Linked DNA regions of Ovis aries. The protein of the gene in region 3 binds, or shares a complex with, the protein of the main gene of each other region. Links are inferred from orthologs where the notes say so. Each region holds a gene or a part of one and is shown on either strand. Other genes may lie near its edges.

Region 1 (4,299 bases), on a different chromosome or scaffold from region 3:
GGTGGTGTGTTCTAGAAATGAGGACATTTCTAGGCTGAAGACTCCAGAACAAGAGAGGGCCTAGAGCATGTTTAGAATGCTGAAGTGGCAGATGGAAGAAGCCCACAGTCCACCAGGGGACAAGTTCTGAGCCAAGGTCACACTGGGGGAAAAGATAGACAGAGAAGGTGGGGATGGATGGGCTTAGAATACAGAACCTGAAGAAGGAAGGTGCAGTGTAATCCTGGGGACTTAAGACTGTAGAACTGGATGGTATATAAAATAGGGAGGTTCAGAGACTTCCCTGGTGGTCCAGTGGTCAAGACTCTGCCGTTTCACTGCAGGGGGTGTAGGTTCGATCCCTGGTTGGGGACCTAAGATCCCCCATACCTCACAGCAAAGCCCAAAAATAAATAAAATGAAATGCGGAAACATATTCTAGAACTGATAACGCAGTTTGGAGAAAAGCTACAGCCCATAAATGGAACACACACACACATTCTAGCACTGAGAATGCCCCTGGGAAAAGAACAGAATCTAGAACATTGCCAAGGATGTGGCTAGAACCTAGAACACACCCAAAATGAAATTTTAAAAGAAAATAAGCAAAGACTGGCTTCTTAAAAATTGGAATATGTCAGGAATTACTTGGCGGTCCAGTGGTTAGGACTAGGCACTTTCACTGCTGGGGCCTGGGTTGGATCCCTGGTCAGGGAACTAAGATCTGTGGGGGAGAAAGTGGTGGGGGGAGGAAGGAACATATCTAAGGGGAGGAAAGTGGGCTTGGCAGCTTGGCTTGGGAGCACTAATCAGAAATTTGAATTTACCTGGGGAATATCATGACTCGAATTTAGCATCTAACCTAGAATTTAGAACATACCTTGGGTGAAAAAGGAACAGAGATGTTCACTGAGAATATTCTAGGATTTAGAAATAATTCCACGAAGCACTGCCAGTGTGCCTGTTTAGTTGGAAATACGGAAGGCAATTCTAGATCACGAAATGAACCTAGGTCACAGAGCACATCTGGAGAAAGGGATGTATGCTCGGTTTATCAATCTGAGAATGTACTTGAAGGATGGGGCATCACGATATGAAAACATCATGATGGGGTGCTGGAAGCATCTCAAGAACCTGGGTCTCAGGGGAAAATATTGGAAACCCCAGGAAGCCCAAAATCTGAGCTGATAAGGGGATGAGGCAGGGGTTTTTCAAGGCCACCAGAGTTGATGGGCAATAGTGAGGCTGTAGGGACTTGGGTCCCTAAGAGTAACAGCTGAGCAGCTAGATACTTTGGAGGTCAGAGTTGAGGAACTGGACTCCTGAATCTTTGTGGAGGCAAAAGACAGGAGATGGAAGTTTGGAGCCTGAGTCCTTGTTGGAAGGGAGGGCAGGGGTAGATGGCTTTGATGAGCAGTACAGAAGGTGGGGTCTGAATTCCTGGGTCGCTGAGGGGAGACAGGATCAGGGACAGGGCATTTAGGTCTTCAACGGGGAGGACGGGCAGAAGCCAGCGAATTGCATTAAGAATTGCATTCTGAGCCCCTGAAAGGGAGGAATCATGGCGCCTGAATCCCTAAGGGGGCAGATGCTGGGGTGCCAGGAGGCTGGGTATATTTATTGCAGGGGAACAGGGCTTTGAACTGGGTCTCTAAAGGGGCAAAGGCTGGGAAACTGGATTCCTTCCTGGAGTGGTGAAGGCTACCAGCTGGGGCCTCTAGCCAGAGGAAGTGAGGACTGACAAGGCTTCCAGACCCGGGTAGGATCTGGATCCTCGGATTCCAAGATCCCTAAGGTGGACCAGGCAAGAACATTCAGAAGCCACGACTCCTCAAATAGCAGCTGGGGTCACCGCAACTGGGGTGCTGAGGATGGGGCTGAGAGCCTGGCCAGAGGAATCCTGAGGCCCGGGCGCCCAGGTCGGGGAGGGCCTGGGTATTCCCGGGTCAAAGGCGCGGCGAGGGGGATCCCCGCGCCGCCGGCGCCCCCTCCCCGGCGGCGGCAGCGGGAGGTGGGGGAGACAAGGCTGCCGAGAATGGTGACCATGGACAGCTCCAGAGCGGGCCTGTGTCCAGGGCGGCCGCTGAGCCGGCCTGGACCGAGGGACTCGGCCGGCTGTACAAGCCGGAGGACCGGAGATGGGCTGACTGGGTCCCCGAATGGGGGACTATGCCGACGCGACCGAGGGAGGGGGGGCCGGCGGCTCTAGCTGGGGGAGTCTGACACAGCCTTGGTCGGTGTCGATCTCCCAGGACTGGGCCGAGGAGGAGGATCTTGGTCCAGAGGGGGTTCCCGGGGCTGACCTGGGAAATTAAGGCTCCCGGGCCCTGGAGGAGGCGCAAGGCGGCAGTACGCCTGGGATCCTAGGGTTCGGTTGGTGACTCTGAGAGCTGGGAGGGACACGCCTGAGTCTCTGGGGTCGGGCTGTGAAATCTGGGCTGTGAGGTCCTCGGAGGAGAAGAGAATCCAGGTTCTCGGAGAGGCGGGGGAAGCTCGGCGAGGGGTCCCCCGGGTGGGCGCTGCCAGGCGGGCCGGGCTGGGCTCTTACCTACCTGGTCCGCGGCGGCTGCGGGCGGAGCTGGGCTGCAGGAGGGACGTGGGGGTGGGGTGGGGGGACCGGGCGGGGCCCCTGGCGGCGGCCGGGGCCCGGATCTGTAGCTCTGGAGCCCAGTCTCCGCGGCTCGCGCGGGCTCCGCGTCTCTTGCTCCGGCTTGGGCGCTGGGGTCCCCCTCCCCTTCACGGTCTAACAGCCCTTTACCCCCTAAAATAGCCCCCTGCCCCTGTCACCGTTCAGCCTCCCCCCGCGAGGCCGCAGCCACCAGATCTAGGGGTGCTCACCAGCGCCCCCCAAATCCCACCTTCCCCCGCCAAAAAATTCCTCCTCCCTCCTCCCCCCCGCAACCAGCGCTGGGGCGGTCGTGGCCCCTTTAACAGGAGACAGACAGACGGCGCCGAGTGGCCAATGGGAGGCGGTGTCGAAGCCGGCCGGCGGTTAGGCCCCGCCCCCGCACTGCCTGGGAGGGGTCGCGCGGGCGGAGAGCGAGAGGCGGGGCTAAGGCGGGTCGGCCAATAGGCACGCGGCGTGAGGCGGCTGGGGCGGGAGGCGGAGCCCGGCATGGGGATGATGTCACCTGGAGCGAGTGGCGCGCGGCGTGGAACGCCAGTCGCGACCCCGGATTCCGGCGGTGGCGCGCGCCTGCCCTCGCGCCGCACGGGACAGGAGGGTTGGGCGGGCGGCGAGGTGGGAGTAAAAGATGGCTTTTAAGATGGGGGCGGCTCCCGGAGACACGCGCTCGGGTTATAAGGTGGGATGAATGCCTGGTCGGCGAGTGCACCTTACTCTGCACCCCATGAGCCCGCCTCGGAAACTGCACGTGGCACCCCCACCTCTCGCGCAGACTATTGCGCGGCCGGCAGGGCTCCCCCGGCGGACTAGGCTAATGGTTCGCTCCGCCCCGCCCACACAGAGGCCGCCCACTGACTCTGGCGCGTTTCAGGACTCCTCTGTCAGACCAGCTATAGAGAAAGGGGGCTTGGTTTCCGCCCTCAGAATCTCGGAAGGGTAGGGGGGAGTTGTCTTCAGCTCTGATCCCGCGCTCAGACCCAGATCAGGTCCCAGCCTCCATCCTGGACTTATGGTTGGGAAACCGGCCAGCCTCTGTCTTCGGACCTGGCGAAAAGTCTCAAGTTCCGCTCTCAGACCCTGAAAAGGGTCTGGTCTCGACCTCAGCTTCTCTCCCTCCCACATCTCCAGACACTCCAACCCGTGGATGCAGGACAGACACAGACACTCAAGGAGGGTCAAAGATCTTTAAATAAGGAGTTGGTGACAATAAATACTGTACAGGGGAGGGGGTGAGAGTCCAGATCTGTGGTTTCAGCCTCGAGACTCCAAGGACCTAAAAGGAGGGTGAAGAGAGGGGAGCCAAGCTCAGCGGAGAAGACAGTGGTAGGCATGGGAGAGAGAGCCAGGATTGGGGTTCCAGAGCCAAGACCCCAGGGAAGTGGGTTGAGGGATTCCAGAGAGAGCAGGTTCCCCATCTTGGGGTGGAAGTAAGCTAAGTAGGGGCCCCCAAGGTAGTCAGAATGGTTTGGGGTGAGAGTCGGGGTCAAGGGTCAGAATCCCAGAGAAAGGAGCCAGGGCTAGGGGTGGCAATCAGTGTCTCAGAAATTACCGGCCTGGTCTGGGAGTCTGGGGATGAGGGAGGCAGAGGAGCCCCAGGGGTGTGGTGGCAAAGGGCTCACGAGTAGCTCTGATGTTGCTGGCGCCGCCGGGCGGAGCGCATCTTCTCAAAGCGGGCTTCCATCTCCTCCAGCACT
Region 2 (4,174 bases), on a different chromosome or scaffold from region 3:
ATAGTTGATTAACTTAATTTCAAGTGTAAAGTGGTTCAGTTATACATACAGAAGAGACAAATTTAGACTTTCAGTTTACTAAAGCTGGAACTGAAGAACTGATATTAATATTCTATTTTCAGCATAAAGTCAGGATCTCAGAGGTGAGGCTGTATATGCAGCTGCTGTAGAGCAAATGAATCTAAAGCAGTGCCTCCTTCAGTGCTCGGCAGTTCACAAAAACCACCTTAATAGCCATTATGGACTAACACTTTATTCAAAATGTTAAAGAAACTGCTGAATAAGTTGTAATGTGACTTGCAACTATTAACCAAAAGGGTACTGTACTCACCTCTACCAGCTCTGCCGACGGCAACGTTGTATGTTGGCTCCCCACCTTGACTCTTTGTCCGGATGTCCATTGTGCAGTCACCATCCACGTATAGGCTATCTCTGATCACTGAGCACTTCTTTGCACCAAGAGTCAAACCATTGGTAAAGAAACCTTCCCGGTCTTTTCCTACAATCATATCTATTTCTACTGGCTGCCCCCGCCCCCAACCACAAAAAAAAAAAAAAAAAAAAGAGAGAGAGAGAGAGAAAACAAAACAAAAAGTTTTAGTTAATTTCTTGTCCTGGTATAACAGGAAAAGTGTCAAGTTTGTACTACCACTACAAGACATCCACATTTCATTAATGTAAAACCAAGTTTCAGTCATTTCTAAAAAATAACTTAATCTTAAACGGGATGACATTTTATATCAGTTAGATTTCACAGTTAAGAGAGTGGTCTGTTAACTAAGCCCAGTCTATGCAAAGAATCTCCAGTTAGTAGATGACACTAGATAAACTACAAACTTAAGAGTTATTTATAAACTTGTTTCAAGTCAGGTGGTACCCGAAGTGCTTATGTAATGGTAAAGATTCACCCAGAAACTTTCAACAAAATCTTACCTATCACAATCACGTAACAGTCTTGTCATATCAAACTTAAAGTTGTTTGAAAGTCTCCTGGAACAAAGCCCATGCTTGGCAGATCTGGTTACATCTACTCTGCTTCAAATAGCTTGACATACCCCCCTAGTATGAACTTCAAGCCCTGAATCTCAGCGCATCCCCAAATTCATATTTCCCTCCTCTTTTATTTTCGCTGCTACTCCCTCTCCAACTTTCCTTCCCCTCCCTCCTAAGTAATCAGTTTTCTTTCTGGGCAAATGCAAAGAGGATTCTGTCTGTAGCGCTGCAATAAGCAACCATAAAAGAACAGAGAAAATGGAGGGAGAGTGGGAAAGAAACTGAGGTAGCGACCAGAACCGGAAAGGAGAAAACGTGCATTCTAACATTCCATGAATAAGAAGGAAGGCGTCGCCCCCATCAGAACTGCAGAGTCATAGCAGGCCCCAGCCATTTCCAAGCACACTCCCGCAATCTTCCCAGCCAAACAGCGGGAACTCACACACAAAGACAAGAGGACTGCAGGAAAAAAGTTGATCGCCAGACGGCAATTCTCTGTAAGATTTGTAGTCCACTGCGGCAACAGAGAGCCGGAAAGTACCTGGATCAGGAGTTCTACACAGTTAGACCTTAAACATGTTAAGCAGTACAAGAATAATTAGTAGCACCCATAGTAAAGGGGCCTGAATTTTGGCATTTGATAGGAAGGGGGCGTGAAGCGTAGGAAATTAAGAGAATGGTCCTGTATTTGATATAATGTCACCATTTTAGACCCTTGTGCAGAAAGAGGCAAAACAATAAAGCAGCACTGGAGGGCTTATTGACAGTTATTCCCCAAACATGTGGCAACCGAGTCAAACCACCAAGTCACAAGAAAATCAGGCACCGGGAAGCATTAATCTGCATTAGTTCCCTTACGAAGATCACTAAAGAGGGAGGGACTTGGAGAACTGAACATCCCCTCGGTCTTCGCAGATTATTGAAAGCCCCAAGCACCCCCTTTTTTTAGAACTCTGTTGCGTAACTGGGGATAACGGTATATCGATGAATCTCCATAGGAAAGAAATCAATGGCAGATCGCCATCTTGGAGAATTAAAAAAAAAAAAAAAATCCTATGGAGCCAGAGATTCACGAATCCACCTACGTTGTCTGCGTTCATTTCTCGCAAGCCCAAGAGGCCTGGACACCGGCAAATCTACGCCAAGTGGCCGCGAGGATCCTGGGGGCCGGGCAGCCGCCGCCTCCCACAGCTCGCGGCGCGGGCGGCGCGCCGTCACCGGAGGAGCTAGGGGCGGCTAGACCACCCGAGGACCCGCGCCCCAGCCCGGCTCCTCCGGTCCCCGCTTCCACCCGGGAATGTACAAAGCAAACCTCAGGGCTTCCAGGGGACCCCAGGGCGGGGGCGAGAAAAGGGAAAAGGCCCCCCACCCACGAACCGGTGCGTACCCCCTCCCCCAGCCTCATCCGGACAAGCTGTGGGAACGCCGGCGAGCCCGGCCGCCGCCCCCGCCACTCAGCGCAGCCCCTGCGAGGGGGCGTCCCCGGGCCTCGGCCTCTCCGCCCGCCCGGTAGCCGCATCCTCGGCGCCCGCCGCTCCTCACACCTGCCGGCGCGGCCCTGCCCGAGTCCGGCCCCGCGCTGCGGCGCCCCCACGGCCGGCCCCGCATGGGTCCGGGGCCGGGTACCCAGGTCCCCGCCGGTCCTCACCGTAATGCTCTGGAAGACGCCCCCGGCCGTGGCTGCCCAGACGTATTTGGCGTCGCAGTAGCCGACAATGGCGGCCTCCTGGCAGCAGCCATCGCACATCAGGTTATCCACGTAGCTCTGCCAACCGGCCATCTTCGAGCCCTTCGCACTGCAGCGGGGACGGCAAGGAGCAGCAGGCGCAGCGGCGGCGACGGCGGCGGTCGCGGGCGGCGGCGGCGCGGGGGGAGGCGGGGCGGGGGCGGAGAGGAGGCGGCTCTGCGCAAGCACCGACCGCCCCCCTCCCCGAGGAGCTGCGGAGGGAGGACGCGGGGACGGCGGTGAGGGACAAGCCGCGGAGCGCGCCCGGCCCGGCCGCCCTCCCGCCCGCGACCGCGGGGCTGATTAACTAGCGGCGGCAGGCTGCGGAGCGGCAGTGCCGGCGACGGCGCTGGAGACTACTCCTCACTGTGGCTCCCTTAGCTCTCCGCCGTTCCGGCGGGGCGTGCGCGCGCGCGTGCGTGCGATCCTTCCGCGGCGCCCTGACTCTGAGGGTCCCGAGAAGGGAGGGGGAGACTGAGCGGGGGCGCGGCCGCGGAGGGATACTGCCCGGGGCAATCACGGCGCCACGTGCGGCCGGCGAGGTCTGAGTGAGGCGGGTGGTTGAGGGTGGCTGAGCCTCGGACCCCGGGCCTACGGAGAGGGCGTCTCTCGAGTTGCACTCAGTACCCCTGGGACGGCGGCGTCTGGGGAGCCTCGGAGTCCCCGCGTCCGGGCTGTGAAACGCCTCGGTCCTGCGGCCGGCGGCTCGGGATGCGGAATCTTGCGCCTCGGTGTCGGATTGCAGAGTTGCCCTGGTGACGGGATGCGGAGCGTTAACTCCTCTTTGTGGTCCCGGCGGGCGGGTAGCAGAGTCGGCCACTGTCATCTTAGGCATCCTCAGTGGGACCCTCTTCTCTGGACCTCTCGGCCACAAAGGCTACCAGGCGGGCGCACTCCAGCAATCTGAAATCAGAGTGGCATTCTTGGCTTTCAGGAACATTTCTGAGCTTTGCTGGTCTTTCATTGTTGCTTCATTTGGGTACCAAAGGCCTCTCATTGTGTGGGTTCCTTGATAGGAAGATCCTCTCTTCCCCTGTCTTAAAGCGGCTAAATTGCTCGTAAATTCCGAAGGAAACAAATAGCTAGCAATGTAAAACTATTGGTTGGTAACGGAATATTACTGGTGGGTCGAAGAAATCTGAATATATAAAGAATTTAAAAATCTAAGAACGGGTTCGTTGTATGAACATGTTAGTATTTCTACTCTCAAAAGCTAAACTAATTTCGGGACCCAGATCGGAGAATGGCTTGTATTTAGGTGGTAAAACATGGGTAGAGTCCCTGTGAATATTGCGTGGTCTTTAGTAACCGCTGGGCGTTATGACTATGCAAAGGATTAGGAGACTTCCCACAATTTCGATTTTAAATGAACTAAACGATCTGTCAGTGAAGGGAAGAGAGCGTCTCAAAGCGTTTTTGAAAAAGTTGATTTTCAATTTTAAAGTTATCATGTAA
Region 3 (4,250 bases):
TGGCAGACTCCTTGTAACATACCAGACCCTAGATTGAGCGCTGGCGGCTCCCTAGTGAGTCACTGGCTGTCCTCCAGGAACATGCAGTTGAAGTCTTTTGCTGGTTGTGAGCAAGATAATTAAGTCCAGAGTTTGAAGGCCTACTGGGTGCCACATACTGTTCATACAAAGGACCAGATGTATTTGGGAGAATAGAGGAAATTGGTGAGAAAAGAATCAAGTGAGTAGAGCAAAGAACACACTTTTGGAGAATGCCTGTTCTTTTCACTCAGTTTGGGTTATGTTAATTCAGTTGAGTTCAGTTGCTCAGTCGTGTCCAACTCTTTGGGACCCCATGGACTGCAGCATCCCTGTCCATCACCAACTCCAGAGCCTACTCAAACTCATGTTAATCGAGTCAGTAATGCCATCCAACCATCTTATCTTCTGTCATCCCCTTCTCCTTCTGCCTTCAGTTTTTCCCAGCATCAGGGTCTTTTCTTTTCTCCCAGCATCAGGGTCTTTTCTTCATGAAAAGAAAGAACTGAGTCAGTTCTTCATGTCAGTAGGGAATCCTTTTTAAACACAGGGCTTGGCAATCAGACCAACCTGGTTTTATTTTTTTTGGTCAATTATGTGTCCTTGGGTAAGTCACTTCAATTGTCGTTGTACAGATTTCCTGTCCTTAAAATGGTGAGACTAGTGGAATCTGTCACATGCCATTGTGGAGATTCAGTAAGAAAATACACGTCATGTTTTTGCAAAGGGTCTGGCATAGAACAAGTGTATGGTAAATGGTTAACTATTATTAAGTTTCAGGCACAGCAGTGGCAATAACTAGTTTTCCCAGATTAGGAACGTGGAACGTAGTAGACCTGGAATTTAGAACTAGGTAATTGAACTCCAGAGCAGGTAGAGTTTGCTCTAGCACTGGCCCTGAACCAAGCTCTGTTCTTGGCACATAAATGGTAGCTATCACTTTATTTTTTCGTGTGCTCCGTGGGTATTGAACACATAAAAACTATTATCCGGGAAAGCTTGGCACTAAATTTTCTGCCAGGATAAGTCTCTCTCATGCAATTTTTTTGTTCAGATAATAATATCACACTCTGGGGTGTGAGAGGGTCCAGGCTTCACAGCCACGTGGGCACTGCATGGGAGCAGGGAGGCCTGCGCTGCTCCAACCGGCAGGCGGCGCTGTCCCAGAGTTACACCGCCCACTCACCCTCCCCCCCCACCCCTCAACGTGAGTCCAAATGGTTAGGCCCGCCAGGCAGGTAGTGCGCTTCCGCGGCTTTCCTCCACCCTCTCCCTTCCCCCGTTGGTAGGTGCTGCGGGTCCGGGCGGAAGTGGGGCAGGCGGGCGGGAGCAAGGCGTCGCCGTTGTATATTCATGAGGCGCGCGCAGCCCGGCATGCTAATGAGGCGGGGCGCGGCGGCGGACTGAGAAGCTGCTGGGCGGCGGCGGCGGCGGCGGCGGCAGCGGCGGGCTTGGAGCTGCCGGGCGGGAGCGGCGTGGGCGCGGGGTCACTAGCAACGCAAACCTGGACATGGAGCCGCCCGGCGGGGGCCTGGGACCCGGCCGCGGGACCCGGGACAAGAAGAAGGGCCGGAACCCGGACGAGCTGCCTTCGGCAGGCGGCGACGGCGGCAAATCCAAGAAATTTGTGAGTGTCCCTCCCACCTGGTTCCCTCAGGCTGGCCCCTTAACCGCCCTCAGGACCCCAGAGACCCCCCGCAGCTGGCCCCAGGGGTGCACGCCCGTTTCTAGGGAGCCGCCCCCGCGCCTCCCTTCCTCGTTTTGCTCGATGCTGGGCTCCGAAGCCCGACCTCCGGCCGCTCTGGGACCTCGGGAATCCCCGGAGTCCCACCCGGCTCTTGCCCTGGCAACCTCGGGGCTTTCTTCACCCCTCTTCTCCCCGCCCTCATGTTCTGCCCTTACCCGCGTAGCCCTGGACAGTCTCAGCCCTATCTCTTCCCTCTCAGCCCCACTTCCTTTCTTCTTCCTCCGTTACCCGAACACGCCTTCTCTATCTCTAGCCTCAGTGCTTTTCTGGGTCCGTTTTCTCTTATTACCCTTCCCCCCTTTTTTGGTATCTTCTTATTTGCTTCTCCAAAGGTCACTTCCTTCCCCAGGCTTGATCCCTTTCACCTGCTAACTTTGCTCCCGCCCAGTCCCCTCTCTGGGCCCTCAGCCCGGTGTCACCTGATAATCCTTCCCCTCAGGAATGTTACCTGACTTGGGCCCTACCTTCCCTCTTCCCTTGGACGTTTGTCCTTGTGACTGCAGAAAGGGGTTCCTGCCCAGTTCCTGTGGTCGTTGGGTATGACGGTAGTTGACTTTCCAGTATTTCCCCATCCAGAACACCTGTCTCTTTGCTCTGTTGCTAATCGGTCACTTGTCAGGGGATTGGAACTTCTCTCAAGAATATGCCCTTCTTGACTTAAGAGTGGTGATCACCCTACCCCACGGGGAAGAAGTTGGACTAAAAAGGTCCAGAAGTTTTTGAGTACCTGATTATAACTGTCTTCTGTGCGTTTTCATGATAACAATCTCCTCAGCTCTTCTGCTACCTCCTGTGCTCCAGGGCTACTGATAACCTTTTTCCCGACCTGTAGAAGAGTCGGGTTTTCCTCAGGTGCCAGTTACTTCCAGTCTGAAAGGATATTGGTATTCGTGTAACACCGTGGTATCTTATTATCTTTGCCTACACTGAATGTTGGTTTTTACGCTATCGAGGGAAAGATAGGAGGCGCTGTCCAAGATAGGGCGTCTTGGATCTTAATAACCTTTCCTAACTAGTTTTGTAGTCTCTCCCAGGTAATTAACTCCGCGCCTCGGTGTCTTCTTTCTACTAACCAAATGGTTTCTAACTTTCCCTCTTTCTCTTATCCCCACCCATTAGCATTCTGACGCAGCTCCACAAGTTTGGGAAGAAAACTGAGAAAGTGATGAAAACAGGAAGATAATGTTGCTTTGGGACGTTGAGGGTTGAGATGTGGAGAGTACTGAACAGATTTAAAATAGTGACTCATCTCTTCCTACCTATTTCCATCAAGACAGGTGCTTCTGGACTGTCTTATCCAGTGACTATAGGCTGTCAAGTCAGTGCCTGTTTTTATCTGGTGACTGTCTTTTCCCCCCCAGAAATGTGGGTTTAATAGTAGTGACAACCTTCCCTCACTGGTGATCAAAGCAACATTCTCCTAGGTTTCTTTAGGATAAGCATGACACTCTAGTTAGGGAGCTTTCCTGCGAAGTCTTAAGCTTTAGGGCCCGTGTATCTTCTATTTCTGTATCCTTTTGTTTTGCTTTTGTTTCCATGGGTACTATTTGACCTTACTCACCCGAATTCCAGCTATTTTTGCTGATTTATAGTGACCTTTGTGACTTGTAAATGTTTTTCAAGTTCTAAATGGAATTTTATGTGTGCTTGTTGTATCTAACATGAGTTTCACCAATTTGTGAATTCTGCGAAGTATTTGGGGCTGAACAGTGAGATACCTGAGGAAATTCAACTTCTTTTCACCTGTTTTTTGGAATGTCCATGGAGTCTTGTGTATGCTGAGTGGATTTGGCTCAGAGTTGGTATTTGCTTTAGGGAGGGTGGAGCTGAACCAAGTTCTCTTTTTCTTTTGAGGTGTTTTTCTTAACTCTTAATCTGCTGAATTTTTAGAAAATATGTACACACACAGATAGTGAGAATTGCATTCCTGGCTGAGGGATTGGTAGGTTTCCAGGAAAGTAGTGCTGTTTAACCCCTTTACTGCCAGCTGTACCATACCTCAAGGCTTTACCATAGTCTGTCTTTCTCGTTGCTTTTTATGTAAGAACTCTGTGGAAATGAGAGCCTAGGAGGAGCATTGCAATCCACTTCTCTTTGTGTCTGTGTATGTATATGGGGGTGGTAGAGTGGGCGAGATTGCTGGTTTGCATTTGTTACCCATGGCTTAGTTTCCTTGAACTGTAGGCTAAAAGTGAAGTCAAAAGGGTTTCGCCTACTCCACCTTTTCTAGTGTGTGTCCTCGGGAACTCCATTAAGAATACATTTTATAAAACTGTGCTCGTTTGGACTGAGTGTGCCTGAAGATTATTTGTTTGCATCTGAGGAGTTACTAATCCCTTTAGCTGCTGTATACCTTTCCAAGCTTATGCGGTTCTAAGTGTAGATCAACTGATGAGAAAACAGAACTCACAAGTTACCAAAGATTTGCTCTTTACTCTCTGAGGTAGCTTGTGTGGAAAGCACACAAGGAGCCTAAGTTGAAAAA

What was found. Proteins that work in one complex are often made in the same cells at the same time.
Region 1: the proteins of DIAPH1 (region 3) and PPFIA3 are in contact, whole or in part, in a crystal structure (PDB 4UWX), measured with the Mus musculus proteins. The link is inferred for Ovis aries from reciprocal best matches to the Homo sapiens genes DIAPH1 and PPFIA3. Residues at the interface, in NP_031884.1 of Mus musculus: Lys252, Ser255, Ala256, Ile259, Gln307, Asn310, Ala311, Thr314, Pro315, Ala316, Glu317, Arg322, Gln352, Cys354, Val355, Glu358, Gln359, Glu362; in NP_084017.2 of Mus musculus: Pro719, Arg720, Arg723, Leu724, Arg726, Met727, Ala728, Ala730, Leu731.
Region 2: the proteins of DIAPH1 (region 3) and PFN2 are in contact, whole or in part, in a crystal structure (PDB 2V8F), measured with the Mus musculus proteins. The link is inferred for Ovis aries from reciprocal best matches to the Homo sapiens genes DIAPH1 and PFN2. Residues at the interface, in NP_031884.1 of Mus musculus: Ile635, Pro636, Pro637, Pro638, Pro639, Pro640, Leu641; in NP_062283.1 of Mus musculus: Ala2, Gly3, Trp4, Ser6, Tyr7, Asn10, Ala28, Tyr30, Trp32, Arg108, Met131, Tyr134, Leu135, Ser138, Phe140.

What each region holds. Positions count from the first base shown.
Region 1 is NC_056067.1:55,370,178-55,374,476, reverse strand, and holds the start of PPFIA3 (liprin-alpha-3), read right to left. Parts: upstream 2,806-4,299; 5' UTR 2,532-2,805; intron 1,974-2,531; exon of another isoform or gene 1-1,973. Other genes in the region: LIN7B (protein lin-7 homolog B), read right to left, coding at 3,857-3,878, 4,225-4,299. UniProt on the Homo sapiens protein: May regulate the disassembly of focal adhesions. May localize receptor-like tyrosine phosphatases type 2A at specific sites on the plasma membrane, possibly regulating their interaction with the extracellular environment and their association with substrates.
Region 2 is NC_056054.1:238,933,140-238,937,313, reverse strand, and holds the start of PFN2 (profilin-2), read right to left. Parts: upstream 2,806-4,174; 5' UTR 2,774-2,805; coding exon 2,642-2,773; intron 525-2,641; coding exon 228-524; 3' UTR 1-227. UniProt on the Homo sapiens protein: Binds to actin and affects the structure of the cytoskeleton. At high concentrations, profilin prevents the polymerization of actin, whereas it enhances it at low concentrations. By binding to PIP2, it inhibits the formation of IP3 and DG.
Region 3 is NC_056058.1:50,368,651-50,372,900, reverse strand, and holds the start of DIAPH1 (protein diaphanous homolog 1), read left to right. Parts: upstream 1-1,397; 5' UTR 1,398-1,528; coding exon 1,529-1,645; intron 1,646-4,250. UniProt on the Homo sapiens protein: Actin nucleation and elongation factor required for the assembly of F-actin structures, such as actin cables and stress fibers. Binds to the barbed end of the actin filament and slows down actin polymerization and depolymerization.